Linked DNA regions of Yarrowia lipolytica. The protein of the gene in region 1 interacts with the protein of each later gene in a pairwise test. Links are inferred from orthologs where the notes say so. Each region holds a gene or a part of one and is shown on either strand. Other genes may lie near its edges. The genes, in order: YALI1_E33527g, YALI1_B01552g, YALI1_D25744g and YALI1_B29539g.

Region 1 (6,314 bases):
CAACGCCAAGTTGTCAGGTACAGACACGTATCAAGCCACCTGCCGCAAATGTTTTGGTAAGACCGGTCTCATTGCCATCTCTCTGGCCCAGGGCTGCTTTGCATTTGGTGGATCGATCGCGTTCTGTGTCATTATCGGAGACACTATTCCGCATGTTCTGGGAGCACTTTTCCCGTCTCTTCTGGGTGGTGAGGACTCGGGACCTTCGATCCTCGTCAACAGACAGTTTATTATTGTTATTTGCACGTGTCTGATCTCTTATCCGTTGGCTCTGAACAGAAATATTGCCCATTTGGCCAAGGCCTCGGCTTTGGCTTTGGTATCCATGCTGGTCATTGTCATTCTTGTGATTGTCCGAGGACCCCAGCTTGCTCCTGAGTACAAGGGCACTTTTGATGGACACGCTCTGAGTATCAGCCCGGGACTGTTTCAGGGAGTGTCAGTCATCTCTTTCGCCTTTGTCTGTCACCACAACTCTCTGCTGATCTACGACTCTCTGAAACGACCTACTATGGATAGATTCGCTACAGTTACCCACTGGTCTACCGGAGTCTCCATGGTGGCTTGTCTGGCCATGGGAGTGGGTGGGTTCGTCATTTTCGTCGACAAGACCAAGGGAAACGTTCTCAACAACTTCCCAGCCTCTGATGTCATGGCCAACGTTGCGCGATTCTGTTTTGGCTTCAACATGCTCACCACCCTGCCTCTGGAGATCTTCGTTTGCAGAGAAGTCTTCACTACATACTTTTGGCCTGGCGATGAGTTCAAGTGGATTAGACACATTGTTACTACCACGGTGATGATGCTCACCGCCATGTGTGTTGCTCTGATCACCTGTAACCTGGGTGTTATTCTAGAACTCGTCGGAGCTACCTCAGCTTGCGTCATGGCATATATCCTGCCTCCCCTGTGCTATTTGAAGCTGACCAAGAACAAGAGTCTAAAACAGAAGGCTCCTTACTATCTGGTGGCAGGATTTGGAGTGCTAGTCATGCTCTTCTCCACCATCCAATCACTGCTGAAGATTGTGAATGGAGAGGAAGAGGGCAGTCATTGTGACGTGAACTAGTCCTAATATGACCAATTATTGTCCCCTACGGGTACTTGCACTGCACGACCACTCAAAACATCCAAAACAAACCAATCAGACCTAACCATATATCCGCCGTCTGATCACATACAGACAACACCAAAATCACTAAAATAGTCAATATCAATGTATTTTATTCAGTCCGCGAGCTCTACACATCAAAACCAGCCATTAAGTGTTAACCATTTTCCTACATGAACATTGCCATTCATCATCATTCTCCTGGTATCAGCTTCCAACCCTAGAATTATCAAATCCAGTACTAGTACATCTTCTGTCTCGCCTTCATGGCCTCGATTCGAGCCTTCAACTGATTAGTAACCTCTGCAGCACGCTGCCACGACTCCTGAGCCTGAGGTCTATATGAATCCCGTCTGTCAGGAGATAGGGCACGTGACACCGCCGACTCACGTGTACCGTAGTCATGTCCGTTTCCTCCCAAGTAGTCACGTGATCCGTTCCCAACACCGAAGTCCCGAGAGCCCCGGTTACCGACACCAAAGTCACGTGAGCCGCTGTTACCTCCATGACCAGGCCTGAATTCACGCGTGCCGTTGCTTCCCGCATTAAAGTTGTTTCCTCCGCTTAAGTCACGTGATATTCGTCTGTCTCCTCCAACTCTCTCACTCCCTCCTCCTTCCCCACCCAACGACAGCTCTCTGAACGATGCCTCAGCGTCAACAGAGGGTGACATCTCTCGGGGTTCTTGCTTCACAGCCTGAGAAGCAGAAGCAGCAGTTTCCAGCTCAGAAATCCGCTTGTAAGCAGCCTGCAAATCCCCCTGCATCCGGGAGAACTGTGTCTCTTTGCTCTTGAACGAAACAGCGTCTTTGGTGTGTTGTTCTAGAATGTCTGCCTTGGAATGTTGCAGAGAGTTGATCTCGTCAAGCAATCTCTGCTTCTCAGCTGCAAACTTTTGCTTTTCGGCCTCAAAAGCAGCCATCAATGTCTCCTTCTCCTTGATCCAAGTTTCCTTAGCGGCTCTCAGCTCCTCTAGTTCCTCAATATCTGCTGAGGAAGCTGCTGGTCCGAAAGAGTCGATACTCGGGCTTGCAGGAATCTTCTTGAGAGGTTGCTTCATCAACCCAGTTCGAGATTGGCCGTATCCTGAAGACTGACCATATCCAGATGACTGAACTGGCTTGCTGTCGGTAGATCCAAATCCAGAAGAAGGACCGGCATTGGATCCAGTAAAGGGCTTTCGAATAACACCTCCACCGGGTCGAACCAGTTTCCGTTGACCAGGAGTAGCCACAGAAGGACGTTTGTTAGATGCAGAAGCAGAGGCAGAAGGAGGAGGAGCGCGAGTAGCAGGCTTTGGGGTAGGCTTGGCCTTGGGCCTAGCCACCACTGTTGCCTTATCGTAGTACTCGACGATTTTCGTCTTTCGGATATCGTCAACGCCCTTGAAATGCTGCTCAAAGGCCCGTTCTCCAATCAGCTTTCGAGCAGTACCAAGAACCTGCATGGAAATCTCTCGGACAGGAGCCTGGGTATCAGAAAGTGTCTTCAGAACCGCCTTGATCACATGATCCAAGTCCTGGTCACTAGGATACTCCTTGATAGTCGACAAAAGACGCAGAATGAAGTTCAGAGACTCAATCCGCACCTGGGGAGTCTTATGGGACACGAACGGCAATGTATCTTCCACCACCTCGCCAAAGGGGAGCTTGCAAGCAATAGCATCGAGAGCTTTGCCCAGTGCTTCAGCCACAGAAGCTTTTTTCTCCTTCGTTCGCTCCAGAACAGCTTGGAGAGTGAATCGGTATCGTGCAAACGCGTTACCGGGCAACCCATTCGCCACTGTCTCGATACACTGAGCAGCCACCTGCACACATTGCACGTTGGCATCCTTGTGAACCACCTTAGCCATAGCTCTGAGAAGTTCTCCGTAGTCTCCCTCCTGTAATTTGGGGCCTCCGCTCTGAAGTACAGGTAGAACTGCCTCCAACCCCTCCTTTCGTTCCTTCCACTTGGCTGATGTAACTTCTGTGTAAAAGTTTGCTGGAACCTGAGACAGCACATCCTTGGCTTCCACCAGAGCCAGAGGGTCCGAATCCTCCTCATCACCCCCATTGTCCACATCCATCTCGTCGGACTCGATTCCGTTGGCCGAAGCTGTAGAAAGCACCTGTTGTTGAGATCTGAGAAGTCGAGCTTGGGTAGGTTTTCCAGCAGCTGCGTTAGCAGCAAACTTCTCATCGAGTTCCTTCTGCTGTACAGGTTTGAGGTTCCAGCTGGGCAAAATTGCGTCCATCAGAGGCTGACCATGCCACTTTTGAACCTCAACAATGAAGTTCATCGCCTCTGCTCGCACATTCTTGTCTGCATGAGTAAGCAGCTTAGGAAGAGCCTTGAACACGGGCTTAGGGTCGATTGTCTTTCCAAATGCTGCGACCATGTCCACCAAACACTTCAGGTTGGCAGCGATCACCTTGGGTGTTCTATGGCCCAACAAAGCAACAACATCCTCCACAACAGGATCAGGGACGTCCAGTTCAATGTACCATAACAGGGATTCTGTAGAAGAAGTTTTTGTGCCTGCTCGTGCGGAAGCTAGTCCCTTTTCAGCAAGAATAGGAACCACTACAGACCGTGTTCTCAAACAAGCCTGGGTACCTCCAAACTGAAGGAAGGCTGCCAAAGATTGAATACCTTGATCCTGAGCAACCACGTTCGTGTCACCGACAATCTTCTTGTACAGCCCAGGGTTGTCGAGGAAAGGCGCGAAAATGGGGTCCGCTTCGCTTGGAGATGTCGTGAACTTGTCCTTCAACTCTTCATAAGCTGATTGTCGCGCTTTCCAGTTCTGAATTAGTAACGCGGGGTTTGGGAAGGGGAAAACACGTGATACTCACCTTGTGGACCATTCGGTCCATCACCGGAATCGCATTAAAATCTTCTTCTTCACTCATGTCGTGTTGTAGCGATGTCGGTCGTGTTACGGGTATTAGGGGATGAGAACTGTATGCATCTCAGTTTACATGCGGTTACCCCGGCAACGATGGGGAGGCAAATAAGGTTGGCTAGCTGGGGTTCGATTACGGGAGTTGTTCTATACTGATTATAGTAGGAGAATGTATTAATGGAACATTACTGTCGGTTAACATAGTATTTTTGTGTAATTCCCATAGAACCAGTCTATATATTGTCGACATTCCCGTTTTGACCACGCTTGTCTTTGGATGTTGTTTAGACTGGTTGTGTGTTGTGGTTCGATCCCCAATTGGGATGGAAAAAAAGGGACTCAGCTAATGATAGGAAGGTACATACTCGTACAAGTACAGCTGCTGTGTTGGTACTCGTAGGAGTAACAACATTATGTAGCTGTAACTAATATACGCCAATGAGCTTGGCTTGAGAGCGGGCATGTCACATGGACACGCGCGAAGTATACGCGCTCAGAACACGCGTTGTTGTCTAAATCTGGCCTGAGGGTACATGAAAGATGTGAAAGGTGAGTATGTACTACTTGTAGTAGATATCAAGTACAGTATGTACTGTACAGTACAGTACCAAGAGAGTGCTCCAAGAACTCTTATGATAGTAAATACGGGGTAGTTTAGAAGTGGTTATCCATGTAGTGTTACGTAGGTGGTTTGAGGGACTTGGTGTCTCGAGGAGCTTGGAAAGTTGACAGATTGTGGCCCATAAAATGAATTGTAGGTATACCCTTTTTTCTAAAAAAGATTCGGAGGTGTAGAAACATGCCGGCTGATAATACTGCATACCGTCTCGCATGAGTCTATACAGCAGCTACCTGTCCTAAACTTATGGCACGTATTTATCGCGTGTAGCGTGTTTCCTCTGCTTCCGTGCATGGAACAAAATTGACGAGTGGAACTACAATTATCAAGAGTAAGTATTGGTGATGCAAACGGGCAAAAGTTGAAAATGTAAGGGATTGGCGAAAGATACCCGTAACTACTGACATGCCATGGTACAAAATGGCTCTATAGCCATGTTCAATGAAATGATACCTCTTCCTCATCATACTATGTAGCATACATTATGATGACTTCGTTATGGGTCAGCTTTCCCTGAATTATGGAAAAACCGGTATATCTACTGCCATCAAGTCCATCCCATTTTATTTCATAATCATCAACTCAACATGCATCTTCATTTTTTCCTAGGACTGGCTACCACAGCCTGGGCCATGTATGAATACAACGAGATCATCCCCTCTCGACATCGGGTTTGCAACCCCAACGAGCTGGGCTTGGAAGACTACTATGGCTTTGTTGTTCACCATCAAGTGACCGTTTCATCTTGGCCCAATCTGCACCATACTCGAGTATCCGAGTGTGAAAACTCGTATGTTCAGCAGCACGATTTGTACCATCCCAACGAGCCCGGCCAAGATACTGTGTGGGGCAAGAAGTTGTGTTCCGTTCACAACAACGACCACACTCGATGTTTCATGATGGCGCGAAGACGCCGATACGCCGGCCTCAAGTACTCTTTGTTCGTCCCCAACATGTGGATTGGTACTCTGTTTGAGTGTGACTGGAGAAACCCCAAGGACCCAGAGTGTATCAACCCAATCCCCATGCGACCTCTCATCTCCGACAATCTGGTATTAGCCAACTGGTACGAGACCCCTGATGGTTTCAAGCACATGGTTCGACGAATCCCGATGTTCTACACCACCAACAAGGGCCATCCCGTTCCTGCAAACTGGAACAACTCAGTAGATCCCTGGGAGCAGTACACTTACAGCTCCAACGAGGAAAGTGTCTTCAGCAACGTCGCAACCAATCTGCAGTCCTGGTTCCACACTCTGAATCGTATTGGACAGCAGGAACCACTTGACATCGATGAGGGGGATGGACGACCCCGACGAGGTCTTTCCGCTCCTATCGACTTGTCGTACAAGAACGCCTTCCATTGTTGGGATGATGTTCGTAACGTGTTCTGGAAGTGTCCCCCTCCCAAGTGGAAGGAAGAGATTGATGCTGAGAAGCGAAAGAAACCTGACTACCATAACAGACTCATTATGCCTATGCCCATGCCTCCTCTTGATCCCCCTCGAGAGCCCAACGACTTTGATGATCCCTTGGGTCTTCCTAAGTCTCGACTTCCCGAGTTCCGAGATATTCCCGGAATTATCGATCGAGGTAGAGACGCGTATGATCCCTTCTACGATCCCGTTTTTGAGAAAGAGAGAGCAGAATGGCATAAAAATAACCCAGCTACTACATACCCTGTCATGACTGCTGAG
Region 2 (4,649 bases), on another chromosome or scaffold:
ACTCACTTGCATGCATGAGCCTGCAGCGTGCATATATGGTGTCATTTAAAAACTCTAAATCGCGCCAACTAATTTTAGTTAGGCTGGTGTAGAGGTGTAATGGTGAACATACAAACGAGCAAACCACAGGGAGTTTTTGTGCTGAAGATGGGTCGGGTTAAAGACACCACTGTGTTCTTCAAGATCGGAGATATTGAATGTTGTATTTTATGTAGTCCCCCTCTCTCCTGTGGCGTCATTTGTGTGGATTCGACGTGACCGGATTCTAAGTAATTCTCAACAAGTCAGAAAAATGGGAGGTCAGGTCAACTTGTATCACGCGACTTCATCACAGCTACAGGCACTACTGATTACGTACAGTACAGTAGGTAGTTACTAAAAATACACTTGTTCTATGTACCGTCTGAGAACCGATGGGTAGGCCGCACGTCCGTCACGTGAGTAGTCACGTGTGGTCATATGATTAGTCCCGTGCAGTCACATGAGTAGTCTGTACAGGACTTGTAGTAAATCTGAGAAATAGTGCGAAACAGTCATCTCCAGACTGCAATCAAACTGTTTGAATCGCTCCAAAGTTGATTCAGGAGTTTGATGGAGCTACTGACAGGTTTCGAGTAATTCAAACTGGTCAGAGTGACTTTTGCGTGGTCAGAGTAATCCTGACGTGCCTCCCGATTGTTTCCGAATGCCCTATGATTCCAAACTGCTCCAGACCGAGACATGTCCATTGTGAAGCTTTGGAGAACCGGTCAAAACCAACCTGACCCACTCTGCTACAGATTCAGACGATCTCCAATTCCCCTTATGCCCTTATGCCCTTATGCCTTGATTTTTCCTCCTAACTTGTGGACTCTGTAGTGTCAGAGCGGCACTAGAGTGACGTGACCCCTTGTCAGTCCAGATCATGACCAACAGAAACGCCATTTATCGTTACCTAAGCAAATTGCTTGCTCGCTCCCCTCACTGCCACACCTTGACTTGGCCATCAACACCGCCAGTGGCAACAAGACACCGAACCCGACCATTGACATCGTTCGGAGCCCACGCCACGCACGTGACAAAATGCCCATGGGCATCAACAACCCTAATACACCGGCCGCCCTGCTCCAAATCCCAACATCTCATGGTCTTGTCATCAGAAACAGAAACCAAATACCGCCCGGCCGGATGAAGAACAACTCCCCTAACCCAATTGTCATGACCCCGAAGAATTAGTAGAGGATCGCCACGTGACGACCACACCCGGATCGTCTTGTCACGTGACCACGACACGACAAAGTACGAGCTCGTCTTGTCGAGCTTGGCCAGACACCCGGCGGCGCTCTTGGGGTAGACGGCAACGCCCTCGATCACGTGCTCGTGGCCGAGTAGCGTCATCTTGCCGTCGCCGGAGACAAACTCGCTGACGCGGGTCACGTGATCGATCCCTGCTGAGAAGATGAACTCTTCGTTGAGCGCCGCGCACGATTTGACCCAGTCTGTGTGGCCGTGGACCGTTCGCACGCAGTAGCCCGATTGCACGGACCAGACGCGGACCGTCTTGTCACGTGACGCGGAAATGACGTGGTTCCCCGACGCGGTGAATTTGACCGCCGAGATTGTGTGGTCATGGCCGGTCAGTGTTTTGACGTTTGCGTATTCGTTTTGGGGGTCCCATATTCGGATGGTGAGGTCCGACGAGCAGCTGACCAGGAGCGCTCGGGGCTGGGCGTGTGATACGTCGGCACGTGGCTTGTCATGTGATTTGTCCCGTGACGCTCCCGTGTCCGGCTGACTAAAGTCCACGTCCAGCACCCCCCTCGTATGGGCCTTTATCGTCGTTTCAATCTCGCCCAGCTCGTAATCCCAGATTCTGATATTTCCATCTTCGCACGCCGACGCCAGAGTGGAATGAAACGGATGAAATGACACGGCATTCACGGGCTGCTTATGTAACAGGCTGAATCGTGAAGTTTTGGGTAGCCACGTTTTCGGGTCGCCAGCCCCCAGACCGTTGGCCTTATGAGTGGAAGAGGCTTCTCGCTCTGCCGCCTCCAAACGGGTTTCCAAATCCATCACCTTGCGCTGAAGCCTTATGACCGATAACCATTTCTTTTCCAGTAGTAAAGCGTTGGCCTTGAGAGTGTCGGCAGGCACGGGCTCGGAGCCCGACGGCTGACTCAGAACCGCCGCCAGCTGACTCAGCAGCGCCTCGTCGTTAGTCAGCCGGCTGACGTATCCGAAAATGCTGGTTTCCAGGTCGCTGCGTTGTTTATCCGTCAGTAGCGACTCCATGGTGGTGTGTGGTGGTGATGAGGTAAGAGTAGTGGGTAAAGTTAGTCAGCTGGGAGGTGTGAGATGGTCTGGTTATGACCAGGCAAAGGAGGGAGGGTGTGCACGTGACCCTACTGTGTTGTTCGGTCAATCTAGAGATTATGAGTTATATTCGAAGGGTCCAAATGCCACCGTTCAAAACACTGTTCAAAACACTGTTTTTTCCACACTCCAAATTCGTCCCATTTTTGTCACCACTTTTAACGACGGTGTTTTGAAATCCCAAATTAAGGTTAAGGTTAGGGGAGGTCGCGTTTCATCTTAGATTGGTGTTGGTGGTGGCACGGTTCTGTGGGATGATTTGGGGGGATTTGGGAAGGATTAGAGATTGGAAAGTGTTATTAAACGTGGAAAAGTGTCATCAACCCATTTCTGGGAAATCTTGGGGGAATTTCAGAGTATCTTGCCCTATCTTTGTCAATATTAGGACAGAGGCGATGAAAGTGGTAGCATTGGAATCAGGAGAATCATGCGGACATTTGGACACCATTAACAATGTCTATAAATTGCCATCGGATTACTCAACGAGTAAATATCATTCGTTTTTTCAATCCTAATTTGATGTTTATTTTTGACTTTTATTTTTGACTTTCATGTTTTACCAACATTTTGAAATATTTCCGAGCCGCACGAATGGGAGACTGAAGCGAATGAAGCATGTGGAAACGGCAATGACATGTTGAAACCGAGCTGGGATTTTAGAATGTCACATGATTGAGATTACGTAACTTTTCCACGTCTTTTGTGTATCCTGATACGCATTACCACACCCAATCTCCAGTTTATTTCCCAGTTTATTTTCCGCTGCTCCAATTAATGCTGTATAGTCAGCTCAATATACATTTCCTTAGATTCCATTTGTGTCTGAGTCTACAATTGGAGCCATTTTATCTGCTTCTTCTTCTTCTTCTTCTTCTTCTTCCACCTCAGTCCAGTGCGGCTGAATCCTGACTAGGAGAGGCTTGTTTCGCCAAAGGACGTTCCAGGATGACACACCTCGCTGCCCTGAATAAACCAGTCTCTTTGGAACAATGGCTTGACTCTTAGTGAACATACTCTCAACAGTTTGAGTGCAGTGTACACTGTCAGGTCACGATACCGCAGGATGTTGGACATTCGATAATGGTTCTGCCAAGGTATCTCTTCTGATCGTTCGTTGCTGGAGCTTGGGGGACCTTAGTTTGGTCAAGGTCTTCAGATGCGTCCATCTGTTCGGTTTCGTCATGATGCTGAGTCTTTGGAAAAGGGTTCTAGTCTGTAGCACCTTTCACGCAGTTTCTTGTTTTTCTTGAACCGACAAGACTCTACCGGTTAAGTCGGTGAGTTTGAGGGTGCAACTTGCTGGACTTGTCTGAATGGCAATCGGCTATCCAGAACCTCTGTCAGAAACCATTGCCAGAAATCATTGTCCGAATCGACTGTTGGTTGTTGTTTTCTCCTTGTGGGAGGACATTTCTTTCAATTGGAATCTCTAGAAACATCGTATAGATCTCTGTTCTTGTCCGTGACGTGCGGCTCGGAAATTGATGCATATTTTCTGTAGGGGTGTGGGGGTCAGATCGGAGGTCAAGTTGAAAAGGTGTTTTTAGCCCATAGTTTCAGAAAGAGCCATTTTGTGGGTATATAAGCATCACCTTTCGACTCCCCTTGGACTCAGGATTCGGCCCGAGGCTTTGTTTTGGCGGCTTTGGACAACCGGAATATCCAAAGCTTCAAAATCCACGGATATCAGTTTGGTTCAATCAAGAGCATCTAAGATGTCGTCTTTTCGTCTTTTTGTCAATTCCGTCTTTTTATCAATTATATCAGCATTTAACGACTTTTTTCCCTCACCAACCAGCTATTCTTTAGATTTCTTGAACAATCCAACCTCAATGAAGCTCAGCGAATTGGACATCGTCCACTGTGTATATCGTTGATGCTAGATCAGATGTAAACTACAAGTAGTAAATTGCTGAATAGAATCTTAGTGTAAGTTGTCTTCGCTGAATCGAATTCTAGTGTACATCCCCTGTAGGATTCACAGATGGTTTTTTTTTTTTTTTTTGTATTTTTTTCCAATTTTAATTTTCCAATCTTGAAGAACATACAGGTAACATATTTAGCCGAATAGAACCGCTAGAAAGCTAAGGAAAAAGCCATATCTCTCAAAATTATTCATAGAATCGGCCCACCCTTTGTTTGCTCCTCTCCAGAACGTGTCTATGCTGTAACACTGTTGGCTCCTCCTTCCATGCGGCTCAGCTGCAGAACCATGGTGCCATAAAGTCGGGTTTTCTTCTGCTTCTGCGACAATTTTTTTTTTTTTTTCAAAATGTGTTTTTTTCAGCGATTCG
Region 3 (5,578 bases), on another chromosome or scaffold:
CCACACCATGATTCTGGCTCAGGTATTTGAGGGTGTGGGAGCCGGTCTGCTTGTCATTCCCGTCATGGTTTACATCCAGGTCGTGTGCAAGCAGTCCGATGCTGCCGCCGCCATCACCGTCTACTACTTTTTCAATTCCACCGGTACCATTCTCGGTAACGTCATCTCGGCCGCTGTGTACCGAAACCATTTCCCCAAGCTGCTTCGAGAAACAGGGTCCTTTACTGACCGGGAGATCCAGGCCATTTTCGGCTCCATCTACGCCGGTCTCAGATACCCCGTGGGCTCCCCCCAAAGAGCGGCCATTGGAACCTCGCTCAACACCGTCATCCGATCACTGCTCATCGGCCCTCTCATTCTCTGTGCCATCATGTTCTGCCTCTCTCTGACCAACGCAGATATCAATCTCGATACCGCCCAGCGAATCAAGGAGGAGTCCGAGCATGTCAAGGCCGACGAGTCCACCGACGATAACGGACTGGTCGTGGAGACAGACTCAATCGAGAAGCCGCCCTCCTACGACGAGAAGAAGCAAGTCGAGGAGATGGTCCAGAAGGCCTGAACAAAACCAACACTTAATGACTGACACTTAATGACTGTACTCCAGCGACTGTACAATACTTATCAACTATTTGTACCTCGAGAATGAGGAGTAATGATTGTAGAATCATTCGTACATCTGAACTGTGCCCACCAACAATTCAGTAAGTAGCCTTAACCCTTACTCAACTATTACTACACTACAATCAACTTATAATTAATGAATGTATTATGCAGAAAATAATAATATAGACGGTGGCTATCTCGTACTTGTACTGCACACGTTAGGCAGGGACTACTTCTTCAACTTCCCTCCTCTTGTCATGTCTATATTCAATTACATTCATTCGTATCCAACCCATACCGCTTATGGCCTCATTTTATGCTCTACACCTCCCCTTACTGCTGCTTCAACGAAGATCGACCAGCCTTGAGCAGCTCGTCGCACAGCAGCAGGTTGGTGGCAATACCAGTGGCACTGGCAATGCTGTTTCGGATCACCCGGAACGAGTCGTAGACACCCTCAACCGTGGGGTCCATGGGCTCGCCGGTGGTCAGATCCAAACCCACAAGATGGCCCTCGGCAATCTCGTCCTGGCACTCGGTAATCATGTCAAGAGCGTCGTAACCGGCGTTAGAAGCCAGAGTCTTGGGGATAATCAGCATGGCCTCGGCAAAGGCTGTGATTCCGTACTTGGCCTTACCCTTGGTGCTTCGCGCGAACTTGATGAGATGCTGGTGCAGAGCGAGCTGGAATGCGCCGGCACCAGGAACAACAGCCTGGTCGGTTCGGCAGTTGGCCACAGCTCGGAGACCGTCTCGCACCGCATCGGAGGTCTGGGCAATGCTGTGAGAGTTGGGGGCTCGGATCAGAATGGTCACCGACCGGGGGTCCTTGACCTCCTCAATGTAGGTGTACTTCTCCTCGCCAATGGTCTCCTCGTAGACCAGACCGGCCCATCCCAGAATATCGGGACGCAGATCCTCAACCGAGTTCTGGGCCTCTCCTCCACACACGAGCTGCAGACGCTCCATGTTTCGTCGCTTTGCTCGTCTCAGGGCAAAAATGCCGTTCTTGGCCAGAATGTCCAGAGACAGAGGATCAATACCCTTCTGGTTGACAATAACAAAGCCCTCGCCGTTGGCACACACTTCCCGCTTGAGTTCGACAATCTTCTTGACCTTGTCGTCCACAAACTGTCGCTCGGACTGTACCAGCTTCTCTCGCTCCTCAGCAGTGGAGTAGAAGAAGCCGGCGTTGACCTCGGACTTCTCGTACTCTAGAGACACGTTGAGAGTGAGCACAAACGCGTTCTCGACTCTCTTGGGCATGTCGGGGTGTCGGGGACCATGATCCAGAACCAGACCTCGGATCAGCCGAGTGTCGTCGGGTCGCTGCTGCTTCATGATCTCAACCATGTGCAGATCGTCTCCAACTGCCAGAACGGCATCGGTGACGACGGGAGCCAGACGCGCCACCAGAGTGGGGTTCACTTTGGTGGCGAGGGAAGATCGAGCGACCGCCAGAAGCAGCTCTCGGTCGACGCTGCCGGCCTTGTTGATCTTGAAGGTGTCGAGGAAGGAAAGGGCCTCCTTTCGAGCAATCTCAAAGCCCTCAGCAATGACTCGGGGATGCATCTCAGTGACGAACCGCTCGGCCTGTCGAAGCATCTCTCCAACGTAAAGGACAACCGATGTCGTACCGTCACCGGTAATGTCGTCCTGTGCAGTGGCGGCTCGGGCAATCAGTACGGCGGTGGGGTTCTGGATCTGCATCTCGGACAGAAGCACCTTTCCGTCCTTGGTGAGCTTGATTCCTCCTGCTCCATCAACAAGCCTGGGTTAGTATTGTATGACTCTCGTGATGTGCTTTTGGTGATATGACTTTGGTGATATGACTCTGGTGATAAGACTGTGACGTGTCTTGAAACAGTGATATGGCATATCTGTGTTCATTTGATAACTCCTGTCGTGGTACGTCCTCAATCAAGTCGTGACCACGTCAAAATGAATCCTGTGTCGTGGTTATAACATCCTGGCTTCCATCATGTTCCAATTACATAAACAGGTGCAATTGCAACACAATAATCAACAGCACCATCGTCGTGTACAACATAACACGGACAGATGCTCATCATTACCCTTAGGACGTCTTGAACTCCTTCTTGATGTTTGTCTAACACCAACTGATCGCCACCATACTCACATTTTGATGGTGCCCTTGGGACCCAGATTGCTGCAAAGAACGCTCTGAAGACCCTCTGCGGCGGCAATGTTGACCTGAAGCGCCTGCTGCCGTCGCAGGGACTCGGCCTTGGGGTTCAGTAGTTGCACAGACATGTTGTGTATGTGTGATTCGAAAAGTGTGGAAAACAGAAAAGCCCCGTGCAGATAGGATTTGGTGACGTCTTTAATTTTCACAGACGAGGTTCGCACACACTCTATCTGCACTCAGGCACTACTTTGGGGGACGCGTGTTCGATTACCGGTGGCGTAGAGAATAACGTAGAATCTTTTAGAAGACGAAATATATAAATAAACAAAAGGGTTGCTTGACTGATGGATATTTCCAGGGACGATATACATTCACTCGTTTTATGCCCATTAGACCCTCTATTCTCCGTTGTCCGGACAACGCCTCACTTAGTCAGGGTTAGTTGGACGCCTTAGCAACTCAGCAACACGTGTATTGAGAGCAGCTCACCGACTGTACGAGCACGAGTACGAGTACGAGAAATTGTACATAGAGATTAAACGAAACGGGCAGATAGTTTTAGTCACGTGATTGAAATATTGGCACCTCCCGTGTTTTTCATTTCAGTACCTGTGCACTCCTGTGTTCTCGTATTACATAATATTAACATATGCATGCTGAAAAAAATCCCACCTGGCGTAATTATGAGTCCACCGCTGCAGGAAAAAAAATTTCTGCAGTATATATAGCAGACCATGTCCTTGACCAGAACTTCACTGCCTGTGATGGTTTTTTTTTAATTAGACTCTGATCACACATGAGGTCAAAAAATGTCAAATTTGCTGAGGCAGTTCCCACACAATATTTAGTTGATATAATCAGGTTAGGAAGAGGACATGGATATCGCCAGTTCTGAGACCTAGAGGTTATGAGCCATAGCACGGCAATAGCACAATCTATTGCCAATTGGCAACGGACATCCATCTACACGTCGTTGGTGCTGATGGCAGGTGTCACGAGCTGATTTGACGGTTTCCGGACATCTTCGACGTGTTTAGAGCCAAGGCTGACAGTCATCGCTGACAGTCATCATCTACAGAACGACATCATGCCTTTTTGATCGCAGCAATACACAGGTTATGACCAGTGCCTAGCGCAGTATATACATACAACTCAAGCTCCAAGGTTCTCCTCTGATCTCTTTGGCCGACTTATACATGCTGGTAGGAACTCCTACATGCAGATACGCACACGTTGGTACGTCCATTGGTACATTAATAGTGACGAAAGAAGAGCTCTGAACCGATTAGTGAAACACGATGGCATCAGCTGTTTCCTCCAATAGACGGCCAGCTAATAATCTTACCACCCCACGTCTCCACCGATGATGTCTCATATTTAGCCTCGTCTTGATAGCTGCCATTTATTATTCAGACGAGTTCGGCTACGAAGACCAATTGATCATTATGCCGGGTACAAGTAGCTCCAATTTCACGTGACCAACGACATTAGAAATTCCGCTACCCATACCGGTACTGTACCTGTATCTATCCGTCTAACCGTTTGTAACCTGCTTACGCACGTGCGCATTCCTCGTTAGTTTCATTTGAAGGGGCTAGCGGCTATTATCTTCATTAGAGGCATAAATCGGTCCATTTTAGACGCCCTCTCCTGGCAGGTATCTCCGGTTCTATCAATTTGCCATTGCTCGGTCTTTGGCAATGCCTCCATATATTTCATTTCATGGTTACAATACACCTCAGACAGCATCGGATGTCTCACACCACCATGCAGCTGAGATGCATCAAATATGCACGGCGATGCACAAGTCGACGATACCAAGCGTAAGCGAGTGGATACTAAAGCTTGGGCTGAAAAATTTGTACTGCTAAAAAATGTACTGCTAAAAGTTTGTACTGCTAAAAAAAATATGTGCTGGACTAACACAGCTACGACTCCAATTTGATACAATATCAATAAATAAACTGCAGAACAATAAATAGAATGTGCAAGAGAGTTTGCACGGCGCTAGGAGCGCGGACGTAACGTCAATGTTTGCTTTCACAAGGAAAACAAACGGTCCTAAGACAATTCAAGGGGTCCACTTTGCTGGCAGTCCTGAGTGCCAAGTGTATAGGGGGTATGTGATGGTGGTGCCCGCCGTCCGCGGTCTGCTTTTTTTGGGTTGGGAGTGCAAGTCAAGGATTATTCAATCAGCTTGACAAGACCCCATGCAGCTCCGGCAGCAAGACCACCAATCAGAGTCATCTGGATACCATTCCACGTGATGCAGCCTCGTCCGACGTCGGATCCAAGAGAGATGACAGTCTTGGTGCAACCGAAGATGAAGAGGGTGATGAGCATGACAATGACGGACCACATGAGACCATCGTCGACGTGGGCGGTAAAGAAGTAAGGGATCAGGGGAATGAAACCTCCGAAGAAGTAAGCCAGACCAATGGTCATGGCAGAGGTGAATTCTCGGCCCTCAGCAGGTTCCTCGAGACCCTTTCCGAATCGAATGATAAAGTCAACCATGGATGTGGGGTTCTTCTGCAGGTCCTTGGTGAAGGAGGCAGTGGTCTCGGGAGAAAGGTTGTACTGGGCGAGGATGTCGGCGATCTGAGACTCTCCCTCGGAGGACTCGGTCTTGAGGACGGCTCGCTCCTTGGTGCACTCGGACTTGTAGTAGTCGTTCTCAGACTTGGCGGCGAGGTATCCACCGAGACCCATTGAGATGGCTCCGGCGACAAGCTCAGCCATACCTCCGGTGATGACAAGCTTGGTGTCTCCCAGAGAAGACAGACCGGCGGTGAGGGCAAAGGGGACGGTGAGGCCGTCAGA
Region 4 (3,855 bases), on another chromosome or scaffold:
GGAGCACCGGTCTCCTGCATCTCGTCCATCAGCTGGGTGATGACGGCTCGGTCGGCTTCGGAGTCGTCAGAGTAAGAGGGGTCCTCAAACTTGGCACAGATTTTGCCAACAATGTCCTGCTGCAGCTTAAGTCGGTCTCGCTCCTTCTCCTCGGTCACCTTGGATCCGTGCTCGTCCCACCACTTAGGGTAGTTGTCGTGCATCTCCTTCAACGGCTGGTACAGAACCTCCTTGGAGGCCAGCTGACGCATGATTCCTCCTAACATATCTCCAAAGTCGCCTTCCCCGCCCTCTCCAAAGCCTCCAGCACCCGACAGCTGCTCCATGAGGCCAGCGAGCATGTCGTCACCAAGGGGCATGTCCCCCATCTCCTGGTTACTCTGGTTCAAACGGTCAGCAGTGGCGGAAATGGTCTCTTTGAATGACTTGGGCTGCTGGGCCTTTTCGGATGCGGTGGCGCTGGTAACGTTGTTGATCTCCTTGAGCAGAGACTCAAACTGGGCCTTGGACTCGGGGTCTGCCTCGATGTCCTTAAGGAAGTCGTCCATCTTGAGCCCAGCGAGCTGATCCTCGAGGTTGGGCAGAGAAACCTTCTCCGCACCGGCCTCCGCAGAGTCAGTGGCCGCATTCTTGTCAGCAGTATCGGCTCCCTCAGTCTTTGAATCGGTCCCGGAAGTTTCGGTGCTCTTCTTAGTGGCATCAGGCTTAGCCTCGGCAGTGGTAGGAGCAGTAGATGTAGTAGGGGTAGCATCCTTCTGAGCTCCAGGAGGCTTGCTCAGCACCTGCTCGTCGAACTCGTCGAGAAAGTCATCGAGGTCATCAAGATCTTCTTCGTGTGACATTGTTTTTGTGGGTGTGAACTGTGTGGGGGTGTGGTTAAGAAGCGAACACGATGGAAATCAAGGTGTTGGTCAACTTAGTTTCTTTCACAAGGTGGGGTGTGCAGGGGGAGTCTATGATCATCAGCCGTCTGAGTGGTTAGATTTGGACCAAGGAGGTGAGACAGGTGTAATTAATGAAGTAGTGGTAATTAATACCACGGAATATTCAATGGAAAATTCTTCCTCCACTTCCTCCTCTTCTGGCTTCTATTTTTTGGCACAAACGTGTGTGTGGGGTACGGGTTAGGGGCGTGGGGCAAGTGTCAGTCAAGCTGTCTCGCTGTAGAAAGAGGGCCCTTGAGTGTGCAAATTTGTGTCTTTGGAACAAGGGGGTCTCGGAATGCAAAGGATCATGAATGAAAAAGATGCTTCAAGAAGGTCTCTTAGTTAGGACAATTTTTTGTACTCGTACTTGTTCCACATCTTCATTAAATGAGCTCTGATAGGTGTAGATCCTTCTGGGAGAGGCTTGACGCTTAGTAATATTGAAAGTCAGTAATCCAGCCAAACCACCAACAAATATCTTGGGCGTAGGTTTTCCGTAGAATATACGCCAAATGAAGTAAATAATTCTATGATTGGACTCTCCCACGTGAATAATAAAAACACCTCACTTCCATACCCACATAGGACTCGAACCGAGTGCTGAAAGTTAGCTACGTTACTATGGAGATAGTCGGCCACAAACAAAACCTCTTTAGGAGACATCATCACATCGCATTCTCCACACACACCACACACAAGACACAACCAGCAAAAATGTCGGAAGACTCGTTGATGCAGAAGCGACTCATGGAAGAGCGGTGAGTTACAAAGACCAATCTTTATTCACCTAGACGCCCCGTTTTAACTAACTCAGGAAAACCTGGCGAAAGTCACATCCGTTTGGCTTCTTTGCTAAGCCCGCCAAGGACCAGAACGGAAACCTGGATCTCACTAACTGGAACGCCGGCATCCCCGGAAAGGAAGGAACCGCCTGGGCCGGTGCCACATACCCCATGCTCATCACCTTCCCCAAAGACTACCCGACCAAACCCCCACGATGCCGATTTGATGCTGGGTTCTATCACCCCAACGTCTACCCCTCGGGCACCGTCTGTCTGTCAATTCTGAACGAGGAGGAGGACTGGCGACCTTCCATCACGCTGTCTGAGATTGTCATGGGTATCCAGGAGCTCATGAACAACCCCAACCCCCACTCTCCCGCCCAGAACGATGCATTTGCCGCCTTCCAGAAGAACAAGGAGGAGTACGATAAGCGGGTGGCCGAGCAGGTCAAAAAGTACGCTGCTTAGAGTGATACTCGGCGTTCGTATTAATGCATTACGCGATGCTGGAGGACTTTAGAACTGGAGTCTTGAAGGAGGATCCAAGGGCCGAGATGAGCTGATCCACCCTCACGCGACTAAACATTAAATATAACATATGTATGCGTGACGCTTGTGGGTCAGCGGTTTTCGCATGTTTTAGTCAATAGATGTATTTTTTTTCTCCCTCCTGTCCAATGTTTGGTGGTTATGACAGCCCCAAAGTTAAGCCATTTTTCATTAGTCAGCTCCATGGGTTCATTTTCGTGGAGCTCTGTAAGCGTGACTCAGTTGACTCAACGTGTGGGCATGGAGGTTGGGTTTATCCGTTGCTTGTCATACAAATTTGAGGATATGGTTTGCTGTTAATGTCGGAAAAATGTGCAGGAACATATATCAAGTACACAGCTATAGCTACACGAGGGGATGTAACCAGGGGGATATGACGGCTTCACTTCATAGTGGACAGAAATACCGCTCAAAAACCCTTTTGCCCCGCCCAACAAGACCCCATGTACCCCCTAAGGCTTGCTAATATTGAGGGTTTCACCTCCGTCTTGGCCCATGCGGGGATTGTTTAACTTCGTTGGGACCTGTCCTAAACATCTATCCATACAATGGTGCCTCGACGAGGAGCCACAATTGGGGCGCCATTGCCCCGTATATTCTCGAGACACGTCAGCAACTACTTTCACTATCGCCAGGGCGACGTGGCGGGCCGCATAAACCTGCTTTCGCTTCCGGGCTTCATTGGACACTACACAAGCCGAGTCAACAGACCCTACAACGAAGACCGCTACAGCGCCTCCGTATTGAAACTACCTCGAGGCAGCACTTTTGCGCCTCGATCTCTGCGAAAGGGCATGTCTGCCGAGCGTCAGGTCTTCAACTTTGCCGTCTACGATGGCCACGGATCCGACGAGTGCTCCGAGTTTCTTAAGGACAAACTGGCCACCTATGTCGAGAAGGCTGACCTCAACGACGCCGACGACATTACCACCAAGTACAAGGAGCGGTTTGGAGGCTACTGGCGCCGATGGAAGCAGATGGACAAATACCGGGGTAGAATGAGCCCCTACGACGACTTCCAGTTACGACTACCGTTGGCGTTCCTGGAGGCCGACTACGATTTTGAAGGTAAAGGAGGAAGTACATGCACATCGGTGTTCTTGTATTGTCGCCATGTGGCCCATTCAGAGGCCGGTCCCCTACCGCCGGGGGCTGAGGATAACATGTTTGACCCAGAGAACGACCTCTCTCTAGTAGTGGCCCATGTCGGAGACACTCGATGCATCATCTGTGATGCCAAAGGAGAGGCCACACCTCTTACCATCGACCACCATCCCAGCGCTCCCACCGAGGCCGATCGTCTGCGTCGATTTGCATCTTCATTCTTCATGGACTCCTTCGGCGAGGAGCGGTTCGGTGTCTTTGCCAACACCCGAGCCTTTGGAGACACACTTATGAAGGCCAAGGGTGTGAGTGCCGAGCCCGACGTGCGAGAGGTTGCACTCCAGGACGAACAGTTCCTGGTGCTGGTTTCCGACGGAGTTTCTGGCGACGTGTCTGATCAAGAGATCGTGGACCTGGTAACCATTACCGCCAACAGTAGCGGTTCTGGACGAGGATCGCCACAGCAGGCTGCCCAGGAGGTGGTTGAGTACGCA

Evidence for each region.
Region 2: the proteins of YALI1_E33527g (region 1) and YALI1_B01552g interact in a two-hybrid assay, tested with the Saccharomyces cerevisiae proteins (2 studies listed by BioGRID). The link is inferred for Yarrowia lipolytica from reciprocal best matches to the Saccharomyces cerevisiae genes STU2 and PAC1.
Region 3: the proteins of YALI1_E33527g (region 1) and YALI1_D25744g interact in a protein complementation assay, tested with the Saccharomyces cerevisiae proteins (2 studies listed by BioGRID). The link is inferred for Yarrowia lipolytica from reciprocal best matches to the Saccharomyces cerevisiae genes STU2 and CCT6.
Region 4: the proteins of YALI1_E33527g (region 1) and YALI1_B29539g interact in a two-hybrid assay, tested with the Saccharomyces cerevisiae proteins (2 studies listed by BioGRID). The link is inferred for Yarrowia lipolytica from reciprocal best matches to the Saccharomyces cerevisiae genes STU2 and UBC9.

The regions. Positions count from the first base shown.
Region 1 is NC_090774.1:3,348,861-3,355,174, forward strand, and holds YALI1_E33527g (uncharacterized protein), read right to left. Parts: upstream 4,006-6,314; coding exon 3,949-4,005; intron 3,900-3,948; coding exon 1,353-3,899; downstream 1-1,352. Other genes in the region: YALI1_E33485g (uncharacterized protein), read left to right, coding at 1-1,069; YALI1_E33540g (uncharacterized protein), read left to right, coding at 5,205-6,314.
Region 2 is NC_090771.1:152,917-157,565, reverse strand, and holds YALI1_B01552g (uncharacterized protein), read right to left. Parts: upstream 2,275-4,649; coding exon 961-2,274; downstream 1-960. Other genes in the region: YALI1_B01568g (uncharacterized protein), read right to left, coding at 456-500, 546-728; YALI1_B01550g (uncharacterized protein), read left to right, coding at 2,349-2,503, 2,546-2,870.
Region 3 is NC_090773.1:2,571,700-2,577,277, reverse strand, and holds YALI1_D25744g (uncharacterized protein), read right to left. Parts: upstream 2,881-5,578; coding exon 2,747-2,880; intron 2,378-2,746; coding exon 940-2,377; downstream 1-939. Other genes in the region: YALI1_D25786g (uncharacterized protein), read left to right, coding at 1-562; YALI1_D25715g (uncharacterized protein), read right to left, coding at 4,940-5,578. UniProt on the Saccharomyces cerevisiae protein: Molecular chaperone; assists the folding of proteins upon ATP hydrolysis. Known to play a role, in vitro, in the folding of actin and tubulin. In yeast may play a role in mitotic spindle formation.
Region 4 is NC_090771.1:2,951,803-2,955,657, reverse strand, and holds YALI1_B29539g (uncharacterized protein), read left to right. Parts: upstream 1-1,640; coding exon 1,641-1,684; intron 1,685-1,740; coding exon 1,741-2,176; downstream 2,177-3,855. Other genes in the region: YALI1_B29548g (uncharacterized protein), read right to left, coding at 1-842; YALI1_B29528g (uncharacterized protein), read left to right, coding at 2,806-3,855. UniProt on the Saccharomyces cerevisiae protein: E2 ubiquitin-like--protein ligase mediating SUMO/Smt3 attachment to septins and PCNA. Seems to be involved in degradation of S- (CLB5) and M-phase cyclins (CLB2).